Linked DNA regions of Schizosaccharomyces pombe. The main gene of each other region encodes a partner of the protein of the gene in region 3 in a complex. Each region holds a gene or a part of one and is shown on either strand. Other genes may lie near its edges.

Evidence for each region. The genes of interacting proteins can lie anywhere in the genome.
Region 1: clr4 (region 3) and rik1 share a complex: the UniProt entries of both Schizosaccharomyces pombe proteins name them as parts of the clr4 methyltransferase complex.
Region 2: clr4 (region 3) and raf1 share a complex: the UniProt entries of both Schizosaccharomyces pombe proteins name them as parts of the clr4 methyltransferase complex.

The regions. Positions count from the first base shown.
Region 1 is NC_003421.2:1,465,997-1,472,412, reverse strand, and holds rik1 (CLRC ubiquitin ligase complex WD repeat protein Rik1), read right to left. Parts: upstream 4,532-6,416; 5' UTR 4,240-4,531; coding exon 1,117-4,239; 3' UTR 633-1,116; coding exon of another isoform or gene 600-632; 3' UTR 557-599; downstream 1-556. Other genes in the region: SPOM_SPCC11E10.09C (alpha-amylase-like protein), read left to right, coding at 1-46, 113-556, 600-632; translation initiation factor eIF2B alpha subunit Gcn3, read left to right, coding at 6,407-6,416. UniProt on the Schizosaccharomyces pombe protein: Component of the Clr4 methyltransferase complex (ClrC) which contributes to the establishment of heterochromatin by specifically methylating histone H3 to form H3K9me.
Region 2 is NC_003421.2:99,216-104,264, forward strand, and holds raf1 (CLRC ubiquitin ligase complex WD repeat subunit Raf1/Dos1), read right to left. Parts: upstream 3,050-5,049; 5' UTR 2,957-3,049; coding exon 1,040-2,956; 3' UTR 501-1,039; downstream 1-500. Other genes in the region: protein meu23, read right to left, coding at 1-270; rhp16 (ATP-dependent helicase), read right to left, coding at 3,470-5,049. UniProt on the Schizosaccharomyces pombe protein: Component of the Clr4 methyltransferase complex (ClrC) which contributes to the establishment of heterochromatin by specifically methylating histone H3 to form H3K9me.
Region 3 is NC_003423.3:452,034-462,149, forward strand, and holds clr4 (histone lysine H3-K9 methyltransferase (Suv39) Clr4), read right to left. Parts: upstream 6,378-10,116; 5' UTR 6,015-6,377; coding exon 4,542-6,014; 3' UTR 4,280-4,541; coding exon of another isoform or gene 2,969-4,279; 3' UTR 2,912-2,968; coding exon of another isoform or gene 2,635-2,911; 3' UTR 2,565-2,634; coding exon of another isoform or gene 2,197-2,564; 3' UTR 1,963-2,196; downstream 1-1,962. Other genes in the region: Clr6 and Rpd3L histone deacetylase complex subunit Rxt2, read right to left, coding at 1-383, 564-672, 722-846, 897-931, 981-1,006; pleckstrin homology domain protein Meu6, read left to right, coding at 2,197-2,564, 2,635-2,911, 2,969-4,279; SPOM_SPBC428.10 (uncharacterized protein), read left to right, coding at 8,991-10,116. UniProt on the Schizosaccharomyces pombe protein: Histone methyltransferase which contributes to the establishment of heterochromatin by specifically methylating histone H3 to form H3K9me. Part of the Clr4 methyltransferase complex (ClrC).

The sequences.
Region 1 (6,416 bases), on a different chromosome or scaffold from region 3:
AAATCATGATTTTCCTCGCTTTTTTCATGAAACCAAAGACATCGCCGTAAGTCTATTGAACAATATTTCAATTTAGTACCTGCATTTTTTATATATTTTAACATTTATTTAGCTGGCTCTTAACGCATTAACTGCACTTATTTTCATGGACGGTATTCCAATTATCTATTATGGACAAGAACAGATGTTTGACGGTGGTAGCGATCCTGACAACAGAGAAGGTCTTTGGAAAAGTAAATACAATACTTCCAATCCAATGTTTAGACATCTTTCTTCAATGATACGCACGCGTCAAAATTTGGTTGAGACCTACCCAGAGTTTACATACGTGCTATCTTTTCAACTATACATTGACGATTCAGTTTATGTATTTACTCGTCCAGGAGTCATTATAGCCATAAGCAATGAAGGCTCTACCTCGTCGTTTAAAGTTGAAATAGATTTGAAAGAACACTGGAAAGAAGTGCCTTCAAGTTTTACAGATATTCTTACTCAGAAAACCATCCCCTGTAAAGACCATAAACTGAAGATCAAATCAAAAAGTGGCTTGCCAAAGGTAAGCATTTAGTTCATGTTTTATTCTACTAACAATTTTTAAGATCCTAATTTCCTCTGACCCTAGCTTCCTATAGAGAAATTACACTAGAGTTTCTCCAGTTTAATTACACTCCAAAAATACTTGGCAACACGTGATCGCCAAATGGAGAAAGTTTTTTTTTAATTTTTTAGCTTAAAAAATTCCTTTGAGCTTTTATGCCAGTTGAAGTGCTCAGTTTCTGTCATATGAAATTTAATAGTTTCATTTTAATTATTGAAATCCAGAATATATGTCATCTCGTCTTAGATAGATGAGCGATGCAACAATTATGACAAATATCTTGAATTTCGAAGAAGATTTTACGAAAGAAATTGAGACTGATAACTTTTTAACCAAGCTTTATGTACTTGTATTTATCAGTGCCATGTTGCGACAGCTTGTGACTTATAATTATAAATCAAAAGATTTTTTTTGTATTACTCACAAATGCATAATACAGTCCTAGAACCAAACTTCCAAATTTGCAATGATCCATAAAGTGTAAGATAATAACTCAGAGCAAAAAGGCAATAATACGTTTAACATAAACTTTGTATTTCCTCAAGGAGGGCTTGAACTTTTTGGTAAGAATTGAGTGATTCCCTATGTTCTACACTTCTGCATAATCGGAAAAGTTCTGAAGATGCCCATCTTTTGACATCGATAACCAAGTCTCCATCAATAAACGGGACTGGAGAAATGAGGTCTGCTTCTATACTTTCGTAGTCCATAGATGACAAGTATGAAAATTTTAATTTTCGAATTTTTCTTGTAAGTTCCTCCAGTTCTAGCTCCTTATCTTTTAATGATACTATACTCCCAATAGCACCAATTTCCGTTGCAAAAAGCATTTTTGGCTCTAAAAACGAATTGGTATTTGTTATTGGGAAATTTTGAAATTTGCTAACTTTATCATGCAGATGGTACACACTTTCACAAATGAATCTGTCATTAAAGTTTTTTGCATCTTTGTTATAACGAAGAAGTTTTAGCAAGCCACTATTAGTTGCTATTATATAAACTGTTCCTTCATATAATGCTGCTTTCACAATGTTTTCTCCAAAAAGGTATCTGGCAACGACAATAAACTTTTGGCCATCGAAGTACATAATCGTAAAACGTCCAATACTGTCCGCTATAGCAATCTCGTTACCCTCTACGATGAGTTGTAAAACTATAGAACCTAGTGATATCCTAGAATCTATCATAAGCCTTTCCTCGGTAAGTTTAACGATTGCAACTTGTTGCCCAAATGCAACGATGTATCGATCATTATATACCCCCAGATCTATCACGGCCGCAGATAGTACCATAGACGAAACTACCTTCAAAGACTGAAGCTCCTTTTCAAACTCTAACAAAATTAATCTTCCATTTACCGGCACCAACTTATCTTGTTCTATAATGCTTGTTCCTACAAGTAAAGAACTCTCATTAATCTTCAAAACTTTCTCACAACGTTCATTTTCGGTAAAAGAAAAAACCCTGAACGAATTATCATCATAACTATCGACCAACTCCAAGTGATAATTTTCCTTGTAACTTTCGTAATCTTCATATCTATTCTCGAGTGTTCTAAGCAACAGTTTATTTTGAAAAATAATGGCTTGTAACGGAACATGCTCCAAAAGTACTTTTCTTGGGGTCAATTCTGGCAATGGATTAAGTTGAAGGAATTTCAAGCCCCCTAATGATACAGAAATGAGAAAATCCTTCCCTGAGTTATCACGAAACTGACACACATCATAACTTTGAGGCATACTAAGCGGCATATAACATAGTGCTCCATTAAACCCATATACCATGTGTGGACAGTCATTGTTGCATATGATATAGGTACCAATATTCATCGTAAATCTCCTAAACGATACAGGGGTTGTACCGAAATGTTTTGTTTCAGAGAATACCAGATTATTTTTGAAAAGTACATAAGATTTAAATTCACCACTTCCGCTAGAAACTAAAAGAAGATTTCTGTCAACACCAACTCCTTCTAAAATAATATTTCTGGGCAATGATGGAACGTTGGTTTGAAAGGCGCAGCTAATTGACGAATTATCTGAGAATGTAAGTATCATCACCTGCTTAGACCAAAATCCAACTCCTATTTGAAATTGCGCTGAAAAATCAAGGCAAGAAATTTCACTTTCAAAAACTTTTCGTGCAACTTCTGTATCTTTTTTAAATATTGCCAATGCTGTTCCATTGATAACGATTGCGGAGTATTCTTGATAGCAAGCAGCGTTCGTGATTTTTTCAATATAAACTAAACGAGAGCGCTTTGCAGAATCGTAGATACAAAGAAAAGTAGATGTGACTTGTACAAACTCACCATTCGTCCCTGAAAGCGCAATCGTCCTTTCTTTGGTTGATAGAGATGGGTCTAGCTCTAACTGGAAATCTTCTTTGATATTAAAAGCAACAGTTTCACTAGGAAACCCGAGGAAGAGCTTATGCTCTGGATATGATGGTAGGACCATAGCTCGAAGGATGCCCGAGATTTTCGTCTGCCCTAAAATATCTAATTTCAGAGCATGTTGAAAATAAATTAAAGAAGCGTTTCTTGGTGTTCCTGCGCATACAAGGAAACTTTTTTCAATGTCGTTTTTGAGTACTAGTAAATCATGAATGGGTCCTAAGTTGGGTATTGAGTCAACATCCTTCAAAGTAGACAGGTTAATAAGTTTAGATTCCGAATTTTTGCTTCCGATAAACAAGAGTCCCTCATGGATGGAATTTAGAGAAGTAATAAAGTCGAAAGGTGGGATTGGTAGTCTTTCCATAACCAAGCTCCATTTGTTTTTTCCCAAGATACTCGAATATACTCCGAAAAGATATCCATTAGTATCACAAACAATATAATGCATCTTTTGCCCTTTCAAAGGAGTCCAATGCATATAAGTAGTACAAGGACCATTGATTGTAACAAAATTACCGCGATACATGCAATGAATAAACAAACTCTCAAAAACCAGCAAACCTCTTTTTCCAAAGGGCATGATCATTGACGGTTTAACCCGCTCAAATAGTCTAATCCCCTTTCCCAAACTTTTTGAGCTTAAATCTAAAAGAAAAGCTGTTACATAACAATCTAAGCCATCGCTGTGAAGGACCACAAGAGTTGGGGTACTGGAATCATTGAGAATGCACATATCATATATGAGATGCACTGGAAAAGAAAAAGGAAATCCGCTATCTATAGAACGGCCAGTTTTCAACCGTTCTTCGGCAGAAAGGATTCTAATACATATCATGGAAATTTCGTCAATGCTTAAAAAAATAGCACGCATCCTTAAGTCGACAAGGCAGTAGCTTTTCGCGTTGCGATTCCAAGGAAATGTAACTCGATAGCGAACTGGAGGATGGTCGACGATCACTTTTTGATAATCCTCGTCCCAATAAATCGAAAAATAAGTATCATCATTGAGAACTACAAATAAATAGTCTCTATCTAATCCTGGAGGGCGATATGGGCGTATATGTTTCACCGTAGAAAATAAAGGGATAGAGGTAAAGAATTGTAAGCCATGAACCTCACTACAGAGATAAATATTAATTTTTAAGGCTTGTAATAAAACTAAGCAGTTTTCAGATGATATAAAATGACATGAAGTCGCTGTGTCTACCGCCGTTGCCCAGAAGGAATGAACACATAAAGCCATACACGATGAAATCCATAAACTGATATAATAAAAGGAATAAAGACTTTTTTTAACAAAGAAAAAAATAAAAAAAAGAAGCTTTGAGTTGGTTCAAAAGATTATGACTAGACTTATGTGATTAAAAAACAGTTGAATACAAAAATAAAGAGTGGACGGCCAAGAGCCACAAAAGCCTAGAAAAAGGAATTCAAGATAGAAAAAATATGCTACCAAGTGACAATCTCTATCAAATCCTTACCAAAAAATTTCGATTTTGAATGAAAGTGCAAGACGCCAGTTACAGGCACTCCGCAGGGAGAAGAAACGAGATATGCAGTCTCTATACATTTTGCGCAAGCGAATTTATTGTAAAAGTTGATATGCATTTTTTAATATCAGATACTACACAAAACATTTTCTGATAATCATAAAACATAAGACATTTTCAACTTGCATCTTAACTAAGCCAAATTCTACATCAATGTTATAAATTTTAGCATTAGCCATATTGGGGGAAATCGAAAGCTATTGATATTTTTATAATTGCAAAACGATTTGATAATGTAGAGAAGATATTGGAATATGTTACTCTCATCGATGAGCAGAATTAAAAGCTATGGGAGATAACGACTATTGCTATTGAAAACAAGAACTAGGCACGCAAAGAAATATATACCTTCTTTACTATAGTGCATGGTATTAGAGTTACTTAAAAGATTATTTTAACAACTTGCCGATCACGAGGTGATTCACAGATTTATAGCATAAATGAAAACCTACGGATGTCTAGCAATAAAGTTAGGATTTTACTGAAATTCGAGTCGACAACTAAAACATAATATTTTTGTAGCATCGCTTTGAATGATTGAGCATGTAAATATTTAGATATAATTGAAAGCATAGAAATTATCATAAATGATTTTCTTTAGATGCTGAAAGTAATAGCGTTTTTTCTATACCAGTTTAGTGTTCGCGTCATCCATAAATACCGAAGTAAAATCAAGCTTAATATAAGCGAGATTTACGAAGGTTGGACTAAAGATTAGTTTCTCGTAGAAATGGTCATGAACTTTTGAAAGGTCTCTTAAACATAAAATAGTTTTTTAAAAAACTTTCTATATTACTTTTTACCAAATCCAATTACTGCTTTCATCAGTACTCCTTTTTTTTTAAAATGGAAGCGTTTTGACATATTTCGTTCATGATACGCTCAACTATTAGGAACATAGTAAATTATACTACAAATTCACTATCTATACAATGATAAGTATCGTTGAACGTTACATATTGGAAATCAACAGTCAAGCATTGTTTACTGATCACCGAGGAAGAATTTCATGATTATCCTCAGATGTACTCAGTCAAGAATATGATATTAAAATTATTCTCAATATTTAGCTTTAATTAAATATAAGCTATTTAATAAACCAATTTATATGTAAATACCATTCAAATCACCTACATAAATATCTATAGGAACATATCTGTAGATCAGTATCCAAAACGCCGTATAATGTCAGCTACGCAGTTTGGTATCTGCTTTAACGATACGAAAAACTGGTGAATTTTGCATATGATCCATTATATTATAATAGCCGGGTTATATAAGTAATGACTAAGTACTGGTATTGTACTATTTAGGTTATAATGTCACCTATCACTTATAACTGAACTGCGAAATGAGGTTTAGTTGTATCTCTATCGATTCTATCCAAATAATCTATCTGTTAATATAGTATTATCAATATCAATCTCGACATCGCATCATCTACGTTGCGTATCACTATATGTCACATGTTCTAATTATATATCGTACCATGTATGATACGATATTGAGATTGATCTTAATGATAATCTATTAAGATCTATATTATCTGAATAATATAAATAGAGCTACTGCTGAACCTCGTTCCTCAGTTCAGTTATGAGCTATATTAGTGATAGGTAACATTATAACTCAGTTAATACAATACCTATACTCAGTTGCTACTTATACAACCTGTGTATTGTAATATAATAGATCACAAGGAAAACTCACCGCAGTTCTACGTATCCTTAAATCAGATACCAAATTGCGTAGCTTACAATTTAATACAAAAAGGCATTGCCCGTTATTTGATTTTGTTGGATATCCTTAAAGTATGGAAAAGATGTTGCTACTAAGCAAGAGCGTCTAGCATCTGCGAATATGGTGGAAT
Region 2 (5,049 bases), on a different chromosome or scaffold from region 3:
TTCCAACGCGGTCCACTCATCCACTCGACGTTGAAACCTTTTTACGCGCTCATTTGTACGAATCTCCTCTTCATTCAGGTGAGTTTTGTTCTCAAGGGCCCTTCCCTCACTCTCTAATATTCTATTTCTCGCTTCTATTCTTCTTTTCTCGAATTCAACTCGAAAGTCGTTTAAAAATCTATTTCCCTCCTTTGAAGAGGATTCAGTTGGTGGAGGAATATTAAATTCATTAGAAAATTCCTCGTTCAATTCACTTTCAGTATTAGGCATAATTTATTGTTTACAAATTAATATTGTTTAGTAGTAACGCGAATAGCAAGCTGGGTGCAGCCAAGTGTAGTGGTACATGAATATGTAAACACCAAAGCTGTAAACAAAAAAGCTTCCGGTAGTTGTTCATCATTTTTTTAAATTGAAAAGGTGAGTTGATGATTAAATTATGGTTTTTGTTAACGGCATGTTTTCAAGTTAACTAATTACGTTTGCTTGAAGAGTTAATTCAACATTCCATAAAAAATCTCCATTTCTGTTAACATTAAGAGTTTCGGGTCTAAGCTAAACTTAAATTTATCTATGTTTGATATTTTAATTTAATTTGTAACACATTTTTCATCCTTTAACCGTGAAAGCTCATTTGTTTGTTACTATGTTTTGCTTTTGAGTTATCAAACCAGTCAGTTGATCATTAAAGAAACATATTAGATATTATTAAAATTTTCTTGCTGTAAACGTCAATTCAATAATCAGCTTGACTTTACCTTCACTGAGATTAAGGTTTAATTTTCCATTATCCTTTAGAATCATTGCAAAATTTTTGGCCTTCTTCAGTTCTTAAATATTTCTCGGATCGATCGCTGTCTTTAATTTTCTTGCCAGTTCACCCACGAAAAGGAATTCGATTAAATATTCATACTAGCTGAGCATTATTTCTTTTATACCTTCTCTGTATCCTAGTCGTCTAATAAAGAAAATTTTTCTTAGCGCGAATCTCCATTGACTGATCATCTTTACATATACCTTTTCGTATTTAAACCTCAATTCAGGTTAAAAGTCGATTTTCTATAATACGAAACTCTCCGAATTTATTACCATTGTCATTCCCCAAACTGTACATATTGACGTCCCCTCCAACACAACATACGGTTAGCTTTGAAGCATCCTCACTGAACCCTCCGTAAGTTATGGCTGAATTCATTTCCGTAAAATTTTGTATGAATGGATTGTTCAATCTCAAATCCCAAACCTTTACAATGCCATCACTGCCTCCGGTAACGAACAAATTCCCCTTAGGCTGCCATTGTGCCATATTTATACCTGCATCGACTTCCTCTTCATTAGCCCCGTCAAAATGTATCATTTTGGTTTTTCCATGCTTAAGCAAGCTAAGAGGTTTATCTGGTTTACGCGAATCCCAAACAAACGTCTGGTTATCTGTACCACTAGAAGTTACCAAGATTCCAGAGTTACTTATGGTGGCATGGTTAATGTCTTTTTGCGTTGTCGTAAAGTTGAGACAAACCTTATACATTCTTGTGTCTAAATAATATACTCTTCCATTGCTCAAAGTATTGCTACTTGCGACAAATCCAACTTGAGAAGGATGCATATATAAGGAGGTAAATGCTTCGTCAGCGGTGTTGAATTTTTGAACGAAGCTGGCAGTGGAAGCATCAAACAGAGCCAAACATCCTCTGTTATTAGAAGTATGAAAACTATCATATCCAATAATGACTTTGTCAGATGACCTTCCCAAAAAATTGGAAAATTCAATCAAAGATGCAGAGTACCCTTTTTCTAGAGCTTCTGGATAAATTAAATTAGCTGATGTGAGAATTTCTCCTGTTGAGTTGTCAGTGCTCAATAAATACCCATAACCATTTTTGCAAGCTACTGCAAGTAAATCGTCATCAGATAGAGCAAGCTTGTGAATATAGTCTGTGGGTGCATTAAAAATCCCACATAAATTTCCTTCCATATCCCAGACTTTCACAGCATTGTCGAATGCACCTGTATAAAGAAACAGATTACCCTTGGAAAAACACAAATCTGATATCGTAGAGTATTCCTTTTCTCCTACTTGATTAAGTTTATAATGGCTTTCCAATGACTGAATAGTTTCTGAGTGAAAATCACCAATCCATAAGTTGCCTAGTCTATTGTAAGCACCATCTTGTGCTGTGCTGCCTAAGGCAAATTTTTCGCACAATGGATTATATGCAACGCACACTGTATCCCCACTAGTTTCATTGAAATGTTTCCAAGGTTTTAAAAAGAAAACTGATTCCCCGTCCATAAGTTGATGAACTTGTTCTCTTTGGAAGTAAGATGAGCCTGCATTGTAAAAGGATTTTAAGTAATCTGGAAGTAATTTTTTATTCTTCTTGTATGTTCGTAAAATGATGGCCCCATGTTTGTCCACAGGAGACAAGCTGGGGTTATCAATTTCAAATTTCTGGCAATCTTCATATGCTCGTCCAGGAAGTTTTGGAGAAATGTGGGTCGAATAAGCATCATTGAACTGAACACTGTTTACCGGTCCAAATTTTAGTTTAGCTTCTTGTAAAATAAAGCATTCCTCTGGTGTAAAATCAACATGAATGAGTGATGGTTTATCATCGCCTGTAATGCTATTTGAAAGTAAATGAGTGTGTTTTCTCACTCTTTCACTCAAATAAGGACGTGAATTAGGTAAGAATGTCCCAGACGTTAGTAAAAGTTGCAATTCTAATCGTTTATTTACATTTGATGGAACTTTTGCAATTGAATGCTTCGATATTGATAATGACGGTTTCGGGCAAGGTAGCTCTGCGCGATAAAAAGGATCATAAATCTCAAATTCTTCCTCAAAAAATTCTTCGTTATTTGTGTCAAAGTCAACCTTGGGCAATTTAGAAGAGACGGAATGCAAATATTGCGTATCCGTTCTTCTTTTCACCCGTGGTGAACTATTAGTCATGCCATAAATAGGAAATTGTTTGAGAAATTATTGGGCTTTTTACTTTTAATCCTTCAGTGTGCAAGTTCACTAGTTTAACAGAAGTTATGGGTTGCTGAGTGAGTTTAAGGCACTGATTGATATAAAGAATTTACTAAGTCCAAAAAGTATAAAGACATTCCAAAATCGAAAATATTATATTAAAATTGAAGATATAATGATTATCTATTGAGTTACTATTATTACAAATTTATCAGTCAAAGGTAAGTTAATGACTTTACATTGAAGCGATAAAATCTTAACTATGTTTAATTTGTTTTAAAAAACTTTAACCGTTCTATTGACAACTCAATAATAAATTATATCCATTAATAGGAATCCCCAAAAAAATAAATAAACTTCCAAAACGCATATACTGACTTAGGGAATTACGGTCCAAAAAACTAGGATAACAAAAAAAATGCAAAGGGAGATATGGCAGGTATATAAAAAGGAAACGGCCAAAATTTGGGCTAATTTTAAAAAAACAAAATTCTAATTTGAGAACAAGAATTGCATATCCTCGACAGAAAGCTGGTTCAAAGCCTTTTCGTCTTGATCTATGGTTGCATGTATCATCTGAGCTTTCTTTTCTTGTAGTTCAATAATTTTGCTTTCAATGGAATTTTCAATACACAGGGTAATTACTTTTATCGGCCTTTTTTGTCCAATACGATGAATTCGATCCATTGCCTGCCACTGTACAGCTCCATTCCACCAAGGATCCATCATAAACACTTGAGATGCCTCTGTAAGGTTCAAAGCAACACCACCTGCTTTCAACGAAACTAGAAAAATGGTAATATTAATATCGTTACTGAAAGCCTCAATAGTAGCTGCTCTCGCTTTGGGGGTCATACCACCATCTAGCTTTACACAATTAAACCCGGCTTTTCGAAGTCGCCAATGAATGAGATCTAACATAGAAGTAAATTGAGAGAAAACAATCGACTTCAGTGTTCGGTCCTTCTTACGAAGTAAGTAAAGCTCCTCAACTAATGCTTCAATTTTTGTAGATGAACGCCAACTATTCATATCAATTCTATTCAAAATCGATGCATTCTTAAACTTCTCTTCAGAAAAATCTTCTAAAGCAGGGGCACTAAGATCTATGCTTAAGGGAATGAAACAACTTGGACAGTTGACATTTTCTCCATCACCAGCTGCATTGATATATTCCGTAACGCAGAGTCGACAAAATGTGTGATGGCAACGTGATTCTATAGCATCTTGAGCGACTTCGTCACAAATCTTACAGACGATATTTTCCTGATTTTCAATATCAACTGTTTTTCGTTTGCTAGCTAACACCAGGTCAGGATGATCTGCCATTTGGCGCATTCGTGTAATTAGCTGGAAAATGTTTGCATAATTATTCAAAACGACACCTTCAGCAAGATATGTATTAAATTTTCTTTTTGAATCCATATATAAAGATTGGTATACATCTTCCTCTTCTTCGTTGAATAAATCTTTCCTCACTTCAACGACTCGAGGAGGTAATCCAAGGTCATCAGCCCTCTCTAATTTTGTTCGACGTAACATAATGTGTTTTAATAAAGAATGCACCTTTTTAAAAGCTAGCTTTCCTGGACCTTCGTATCCAAACTTTTGTATTGGTTTTAGCATTTCAGCGTTAAAATAGCAAGTATGACTCATTGGTTTATGGCCGCATTCGTCGCAATTACTTCTATCGGAAAATCTCCAGTGCAGAGATTTACATTCACATTGCAAGCAATAGTAGTAAGCAAAAGGATCTGCCCGTAGGAACCGAAGAAGTGAAAATAATTCTCCAATACGGTTTTGCAAAGGTGTTCCTGAAAGACATATCTTTCTTGTCGTTCTTAAGCCACAAACAGCTCTGGCAGTGTTACAAGTCCTTGATTTGATACCATGGGCCTCATCAAGTATAATTCGGTAAAACTCCATTTGATGAAGTAATGACTTTTCTTTTACAACACCGTTTTTCCTTCTGAATCCGCTGCGTTCCTTCCTGTAAACTGATTCAATTACATTGTAACTCGTTAGTACAACATCATAGCTCGAAAGCTCTTCTCCTGAAATATCACGAGCCT
Region 3 (10,116 bases):
GGTATTACCATTATAGTCTTCACCTTGGCAGTAAGCAATGACTTTGTTTTTAAAACGAATGGCCCGAAGAAGGTCCATGCGAACGTTTGTCCAGCATCTAATAAACTCCTTGCTTTTTTCCAAAGCTTCTTGAACTGTGATCGTCAATTCTCTACACTGTTCAGGAGAAATCCCAAACACTTCATGAGGTGGTCCTGGTAGTGATGGGTCATCACCTAAAAGTGCAACCATCAATTGTTCGAGATGAGCAGTATATTTGTGTTCAGCAGATATAATTTCAAGAGCAGAAGAAGCAAGGATTGATAAATAATTTTGTTCAAATATGGAAGATATAGCAGGATGTGTGAGCAAGTCTTGTGGTTTTGTCAGCGGTGACATGATCTCTATAATTTTTACTGAGTTAGCAAGCGATCGATGTATATGACCATGATTGGCGAGTGCTGATAACTAATATTTCAATTCAATTCATAATCAATCTTTGAAAACACAACACGAAATCTCCAAAAGCACAATGAATCAAAAAAATTGTATGTCTAACATAACTAAGTGTGTGTACGACTTACCAGCTATGTTTATATCGTTATATGGGTTATCATGGTCCAACCATTCCGGATCTATTCTCCTTCGAAAATGAGAGACAACTCCTCTTTTAGTATTACCAATGTTATAGTACTATAAAGTAGTGGTTAGCAGTTTACGATTCCCAATTACTCACACATACATCAATGTCTATAGAGGAGCCACTAGAGTTACCGACGCAACCATAATATACATTTTTCGATCCTTTCTTTCTTTTTAATCCACGATTTGTAAGTGCCTCTCCAATGGAAGAGTCGGAATCCGAGGCTATACGAGATGTTAGTGAAAATTATAAATCTCATTTTGACAATAATTACCATCAGAATCTTCAAATAACGCCTGCTTAAACCTTCTAAATTTGTTAGAAAAATACATAATACGTGACATTCATAAAAACCTACTCAATTTGTTCTTCAAATTGCTTCATGGTTTTTGGCACGTCAGATATTCATACTTACTCAATCCAGTACAAATTAGCGATTTCTATCGCATTATAGCGTTTACATAAAATGCGAAAATAACCTGGCGTAAGTTGGGTTACTTATTCAATTTATAAATAAATAGTATTGAAACAAAAATATACATTGTTTTAATCGTTAGAGGTAAGCTGCTAGTATTCTTGAATAATAAGAAAAATCCCTTTCCGCAGGTAGGGCCTGGTTTATTTTGCTTTCTCGATATTCCTTTTCCAATTTTTACATGGATGGAAAGACCAGCTTTTTAACTTAAAAAAATATTTAAAAAAAATAATTAATCCATAGAGAATAATGTATTATTATGGAACTTTTATATTCTCACACTTTTTCTCCTACAAACTTATGTCGTTATAATGAAACAAATTGCTATAGTTTTCTTGGAAGAAGTGTAAATATTAAAAGGAAATTTCCAATTCAAAGATGTGGAAAGCATTAAAAAACATCCTTCCATTCTATTGAAAATTTTAAACAATTTGAAAATACCTCGAGTTTGGATTTGCTTTTTTGAAACTAGCGTTCGTCAAAAATAATAAGTAAATAAATAAAAATTTAAAATCTCGTAAAATTCTTACCAATTAAAACCTACTTAGTTTTTAAGCAAAACAAATGAGCAGAATAGTTAAACAACATTTAATTTTTATAAAAAAAGGAACTAATGGTGACAATCATGTATAAAGTCAATGAAAAATATGGCTCATCTGTTGTTGTTAAACAGATTTCAACTCAAATGAAAATTTTAGGATGGTAGTCGCAATTAGAAATTAAAGACAAACACTTAATTGTAAAATCTCTCAATACTATATAGTTCATTCAATCGCAGACAGCTCGATTCCAGAAGAATGTATATGTTTTGATACGAATGAGCGAATACAAGATTTAATGGCCGTTGAAGATTTTATTAATAAGAATGAATTAGTAGAAATTTTTTAACATTTAAAAAGTAAATTCTATGTATTTTCCCTTTTCTATTGATGTCCATCGTTTGTTTGTATATTAGGTAGTCGATTTGTTTGTTTACATTCTCGCCAACAATTGGTATTCAAATAACCAGCTTGGCGCAGACTTTTCCTCTACCACAAATATTTACAGCATAAAAAAAATCCAAAATTGAGAGCCTAACTGTTGTTTTCGACTTCTTATCATGTCTTATGAGGGCCGTGAAGAACGACCTGAGCAGATTGCTGAACCTACTTTCGAAAATGTGTCGGAACACAATGAACATGATTCGGGATCTGCTGAGGCCCAGGTGGAGACACTGGAGGTGCCATTGAGCAACGAAACCGACAATGATGATGCCACTGAAAACGCTGTTCCTGCAGAAGTACAAGCACCTGAGGAACCCAAGGAGCCTGAAACAGTCGACAATATCGATCCTGCAGATGATGATCCAAACAGCGTGGCAGCTCCCAAGGTTGAAGAAAAAAAATCCAAGAAGAAAGCCAAGGATGAAAAACCATTGACCTACACCACTGGTGGGTATTTATACTGTCGATCCAACGGACTTATTCCGTAAGTCAAAACAGCATCCATTTATTAAAAATCAAACAATCGATTGAGTAATCTTACTAACCACATGTAGTCATGTCATGAAAAGGTATTTTTATATGCTAGAAGGCCCTATGTCTATGGATTTATTAGACCATTATTATAAAAAACACTTCCATGGTACTTTGCAAGGTAACCCAACGGAACCTTCCTTAGCTTCTGAGCAAATGCACGACTCTGATGCTGATTCCCTCTTCCAGTCTGCTAATGATCACCTTAACCGTATCGCTAAAGCTACTCAAGACTGCCGTGGTTTACTCTTTTACTCCAAATCTCAATCAACTAGTGTCCCAAGCGGAATCATTAATTTGGTAAGAATTCCTAATTCCCCTGATTTTTAGTTTTAACCGTGCTAACTGTATTTTCAGACTGATGCAGTATCCATAGAACCCGGTACTGGAAACAAATTCACCATCAATTTTAACAATGGTAAATCAGAAACACTTGAAGCCCTAGACCCAGAAAGTAAAAATACATGGATTACTGATCTCAAAAATGCCATTGCTAAGAAAAAGGAAACCAAAGATAAAATTAAAGAGCTTCGTGCTTACAATGACACGCTTAAAAGACTCGGCAAGTTAGCAGCTCGTTCAGGTCCTTCAGCAAGTGAAACATTTCGTTATTTCCTTCCAATGCTTTCTAACGGACGGGACGCGAAAAAGTCATCTAGTAAATCTCATGGCGGAAAACAAAACAATTCTGTTGCCAAAGACGGTCTTTTTGACTTTTTTCAAAACATGATTAAGGGGAAAACTCCGCAAAACGATACGGCTAGTCCCATTGATAATGAAACGTCAGCTGACCCGGTTGATACTACTGTTGAAGCACAATCAGTCGAAGTTCCTGAGAATGAAACTAACCAAATTCCCACCACTGAAGAACATTTTCCTGCTACTACGGAAGAAGTGGCTCCCGCATCAGAAGAAAAACCAGCCACAGGTCCGGCAGAAGAATCAACATCAACTCAAAATGTTGAGCAAGCTTCTACTCAAAATGATAACGGAACCCCCATCGGTCAAATAGCAGACGCCATTGAAGAAGATGTTAAAGGTACAGCCCAATCAGTTGAACAAGCTTTCATAGAAGAGACTGATATTGCACTTCCTGATATAGCACTTCCCGATGTTGCGACCCCTACTGCAGACGATCAAGACCCTTCCACTGCAGCTACTAATGAAGAGAGTGTTGTCAGCAATGAAGATAGAACGTCTAAGAAAGCCGGAAAAAAGCATCATCGGCATCATAAGAAGAAAAAAGGAGGCAACAAGAGAGTATTCGGCTTTAAGCTTCACAAGTATGCTAAACCTACCAAAAGTGTTAAAACTTTACAGGCAGATCCTTCCCTTGAATTTGCTAAGGCAGGATTTGAGATATTTCCTTCCAACCTTTCAAAGAAGCTCTCAGGTTTGGTGCAAAAAAAAGTGCATAAGAAGTTTGATAAAGACGGGAGACTAAAAGAAATTTCCCAGTTCTCAAAAACCACAATAAAACCGGAAACTCCCTTAACTCCTACAACAACTCCAACGCCTCGAACAGCTGCACAAGAAGACCCAGCTGAAGAAACAACTGATGCCCTCGCCTCAGCAGAAGGAGAAAACAATCAGATGCCCCAGGTGCTCGAAACAGAAGCAGCTCCTTCTATAGCTTCTGAAGGACGGTCCATTACCGTTAACGCTTAAACGCCCTTTTTACTTCACATGTGCGCAGCAGATGAAAAGAGTTTTTCCATTAACGCTAGGCTTTACAACAATTACTATAATGCTTTCAACAAGTGTAAAAAATATAAGCACCGATATGTTTTACCGATAATTGTTCGGCAAATCCCACAGGTCAGATAATATACATAATCTCGTTGCTTAGAAAATGAATGACCTTTTTCAGTTTAACAGTAATGGAGAAAAACAAATTGTAATTATTGGAGTCAACCAGTAATAAATTAGCTTAACCGAAAAGCCAGCCACGACAATTAGCGGAACCACATTTGCACTGCCGGCGAAGTTTTGAAATTCTATTTTGCTGAGATTTTTGAGATTGAACAGGTGAGAAATCTTTTGCACCAGCGTAATCAAATGTAAGCTCCTCTAGAGGCTGAATGTCTTTGATGGCAAAAAAAGCGAGATCATAAATGGTTCGAAATCCATGGTTCCGAACAGCAGAATAAATAGCTATATTAGGTGAACAGGAGTGGTTAAAAAAACGAGAGACATCTCCATAGTTCTGAGCATCCACTGTATACTCGCTAGCATCATCAAACATGTCTAAATCAAATAAATAGGTAATACCGTCGTCGTCATAATTTTTGTCACGCTTGGCGGCCTCTGCTGAAGTTATGACTTCTCCTAAATAGCAAGTGATAAACGTGCCAGCAGGGGCAAATCGAAGCGAACGTACACCCCATCCTTTTTCTTTTGTTTTAAATATTTCAAGCGGAAGAGTTCTACCACGTTGAACAACGCGATTAGGACACTCCATTGAACAAGAACAAAAAGAGTTGCATTCATATATAACGGCACCCGTATCTGCACGGACCCGCCCCTGTGCATCATAGGCAAAATGAGTTGGCTCATCCAAATCATCTAAACACTCACAACGAGAAGGATTGTTAAGGTCACAACCGCCAAGGGACGAGCAATTGCATCCAGATTGAAAATTTGGATCAGGCGGGATAACACCTTGTGTTAAGCGGTACTGGCTAATGAATTGAAAATCTAAAGATGGACAGGGTTCATCGTCAACTTCATTGACAAGCGTTACTTCGGGTCCTTCAATTTCCCGCAGTTTCTTACGAAATAGCTCTCTCTTTTCGTAAAAACTTAGATGGGTATAAGAGTCAAGTTTGGAAGGGTTTCGCGGTTTTGTGAGAATTGAAGATGTTTTGGGGGATGTAGCTTCTTTAATAGAATTGGAAACTAGTTCTCTTTTTTGAGATTCCTCCTTCACTTCATTTCTCGTCTTCCCCAGCTTCTTTGAATTTGTATGAAGACTATCGTCTAAAATGATACTAGTATCATTCGTCGTCAGAGCGGTGGATTGTTTTCGAGATTGTCTCTTGGTAGTTTGAGAAGAAAAAACCTTTTTATTTTCCTTTTTTACATTCAATTCCCGCGAAAATCTTTGAGAACGAGGCACTGACTTTGAAGTTTGATGTTGGTGCTTTTGTCTACTGTTTGGATGTGGATTGCTCGCATGGTGCGGTGAATCCGAGTCGGAGTTACTTCCCTTTAGTCTCCTCTTCCGCCTTTTCCATTCTGCTAAAACGGCAGAACATCCAGAAAGGTTCTCAGGGGGCTCCCAAGTATCACTTCTAGATGAATAGTTCAACCATCGAATGCGATATAGTTTGACAGCTCCATTACGATCCAATTTTTCGTCCACAATCCTTTCAACTTCATACTCCTCTTGTTTAGGCGACATTCGCAAAACTAATAACCTCTTGTTTGGTGAGATGATTTTTAGCAAACCCTCCAAATGATGCCTGAACGAATTTAAAAAATAAAATAAGGAGAGGGTTTATGTTAATATGACAATTGCTAAAGGACTAAAATAATAGACGACCGCGAACTCAGAATATAAAACTGAATGTTTTTTAGTAATGAGCAATAAATATATAAAGTCGATGTGTTCAATTTCAGAGCAAAATTGAAGCTCTGAAATTTGAAAAAGGTATCAAGTACAAAGTAATTTTAAAGTTATAATATACAAATCAACTTTCAAACAACAATCCAAACTAGCAATGCCAATTCATGTTATAACAGTTTGTATTTCGACCAGGTTGTTGAATCGCACTCCTTTACAGAAGTCAAAATTTAAAGAAACGGAGAATCGCCCCGTAAAGGAAATACGGTGTTAACAACACACTGCTCTAATGAAGAACACGTAACGTATCACTATATGTCATATGTTAGGATATTACTTTAGAGCAGTTTATTGATAAATGCGCAAAACCATTTTCATATTTACATAGACGCTGGCTAATGAAGACTAAAAAGATTATAAATTGAGCTGCAACTGAACTGAGGAATGAACTTCAGTTATAAGCTATATTAGTTATAGGTCACAATGCAATCTAGATAATTTAATACCTATACTCAATTGCTACTTGTAATACCTGTGTATTGTAATACGTTAACAAGGAAAAATTACCGCAGTTCTATGTTATCGTTAAAGCAGATACCAAACTGCGTAGCTGACTTTGTATCAGTGTGCAGCACGGAGTCTAACCCATCTGTGTCTAAATAAGAAAGTTGAGCGTTTTTAAAAAACAATAGTATGTTCAATTGCTCTATAATAATAAAAGAAATGAAACAACAGTAAGATTGTCCATAGAAAAACTTTTTACACAATTAGTCGCATCGCCATTTTTATAATGATTAAAAACTATTATATTTGACTATCGGGTTTTGATTTCGGTACAAAGAATGCCTATAAACAAGCTTCTCGCAAAATTAATAAAGTAAGGAACCAAATACCTTTGCATTCGAGCATTCATTTTTTAATAATGGTTAAACTTGAGCTCATTAGATAAACAAGGTCAATTAAAAAAGATTGAGTCTCCAGCCAACTTTCAGAACGCGATAACCCATAACCCATTCTAGAAGCACATGTTGGTATTTGGTTTTTTCGCTTGTTAATTTTGAATGACAATGGAGAAGTCATGTACTCCATTTCTGGATAAATTTTCTGCAGGCTCTAAAGGTTGATTAACAGTAGCCAATCCAAAATGTTGCTAATTTGGTTCAATTTTGAATTGCAAATCGGTGGTGCCAACATGCCTTAAAAAGTTCCATTTAAATTTAAACTTTGAAAAAATGAATAAAGAAAACAAAAAACCATACATGCTTTGACCCATATCTCTAGTGCTTCTTAATACTCTATGTGAAAGCTCCCTTGATAATTGTCGATCTCAATTAGATGGTGCGATAAATTCACCAGACTACAAACTCAAAATTTGATTGCAGAATACCTACTGTACATTAGATATATTTTTTGAACGAAGCCTTTAATCCTATCCCTTCATACCATAAACAAAAAAACAAAGCCCAATATAACATGCCAGGGATTCAATATTACCAATGATGCCTCTAGTGAATGAGAATGAAATTTCAGATCCATATACTGTGCACAAAAGATTCAACAAATACACTTTGAATGTAACTAATATTGTAGCCACCATACCGGGTTGCGAAATTTTCAATGTGGAATAGGCCATACCGAAGACAAAATCTCTGTATATATTTACGATTTTTCAATTGTATTTCTTGCTTTTAATCTTGCTTTATTATTTATTATTTGAAGTGTGAAAGGACAAGATGTAAATATATTAACAATTGCATATTCGCCTCTTATAGAATTATGACGGAAATTACCTACTTGCCGAACGAATGTGAAAATAAATAAAAGTTCTTTAGCATCTTTGGAAAAAAGAGATTAATTTCGTTTAGTTAAAGCATTACCATATAAACGGCTTTGTACGATGTGCATGAGCAAAGTCCATAGATATCAAACAAATGAGAGTTAACCCGTTCAAAATAAATAGTATCTTTTCAACAAGATTCCTTCTCCAAGTTATTAGAAGAAAAATCTTGACATGTATTTGATAGTCTTTCAATTGAAAAAAAAAATATATATATATACGCAGAAAACAGGGGTTTTCGTTATTATTTACATGCGAATTAGTTTTTATTTTTAACTGATATCGTATTTTATAAATAACACATGTATTTTTATATAATTTTATAAGATTTCCGCCAACATACGCTATATACTTTCTTTTGTTTATAACGGAGCGAACGAGTAGTTCTACGACCAAATCGGTTTTGACAGTGCGTGTAAAATTACACAGCTGCTTTTCCAAGAATTTATGAGAGAATTTCTCGTCTAAGATACAATTCGGAGAAATCGAGGACTGGAAAACCAGTCGCAGTTTCCCGTTTTTTTAGGATCAGAAAACAAAAGAAGTATCAGGTCTTGTTCCCAATGAAGAGAAATTGATAAAATATAAATTGAATTACAAATAATTGTTTAATTAGGATTGAGAAGCAGCACCGTTTATATGCATATTTGAGCCAATTCAAGCCTTTTAAATTAAGGATGTTGGCTTCAATTTCACTAAGCGATTTTGGCGCATTCCAGCGTTCGTATCCTAAACTAGCCCATGAGGTCATGGATACGATGTATAGGTTGTAATGAAATACATAGCTTTTCCATTTACCAACTCCATCGTGGAGGGACGGATTTGGGAAATTGGAAGAATCTACTTTTGAAGAATATATAATTACAAAATTTTGGACAACTACCATTACTTTGTAGGCCAATTGTCACGTTGACTTGTTTTGTGAGACGTAAACAACATTCGGAAATAAGGCGCGCGCGTAAGGTTGGTTGAACACAATGAAAAGAAAATCTTCACATTATAATGATGCGCATGCATCTCATATAAATGAAGATATCGAGGAATCTTACAAGGATTTGTACAACAATTTAAGCCCAAGCTCGACTATTTTGCTGCTTTTGTATGCGCGATGGTTCCCTGCAACACTGATACATTTCTTGGACAAATACTACACTTCTACGCCCATATTGATTGATATGATTCACAAGCAATGCATTTATAACCCTCCGAAAGGCTCGCTACATGTACAACTTGAATATTACCTCGCTTTCCTGAATAGAATGGCTCTCATCTTTGACAGATTTCCTGATCTGTTTCCCACTGAAATTTCCAAAGTTAAATTTTTTACAAAGGATTTCTCCAAGAAGGATAAATTAACTGCTTTGGATACCTATAGGTCGTTCCCGGGTTCTACTTGGAAAACGATCGTGACTTTTGCTACACAAGAAGTTTTCTATCTGCCGGAAGGACTGGAGCCTTTAAAAAGAGATTTTTCTTCTATGGATAAGCTTAAATTGATTGGAAAAATCACATATAAACTTAGGTTGAAGGGGGATACAGCCCTGAAATTTGCCTATCTTCACGCTCCCTCTGACGTAAGAGACAAGGTTTTCGACGATGCGTTTTGGCAAGAGATTATAACTCCCAAAGCCTCCTTGGAACAGCAATCAAATAATATTCCTACGGGAATCCAGGATTCGAGCAAGTATACTGTTAACGGACCTACGGAAAGAGACAACAAGTCTATGAAATCGTTTGTACGATCGTTCTTTACGTCGACGGATTCATCTGTTGCTGATACTACAATTATTCCGTCAATGACTCAACAGTTTGACAAAGATCCATCGACTCTCGTCCAAAGCAGTATTGATAAAGAAATTCAGGTAAAAGAAGACGGTACTACCTCTTCCGTTGCCGTTAATGCTGAAACAGCGGTTCAGAACGTAAACGGAACCATCAAGGAATCACAAGGCACTGAATCCATTTCGTTTGCTTCGAAAAACAATTCCGCACCTTCGGCAGATGCCAACAACGGTAATATGACAAAGTTAGTATCAAAGGAAAAAGCTTTCCTCAATACCGTTACTACCCCAAATGCTGATTTGATTATTTCCGAGGAAGATG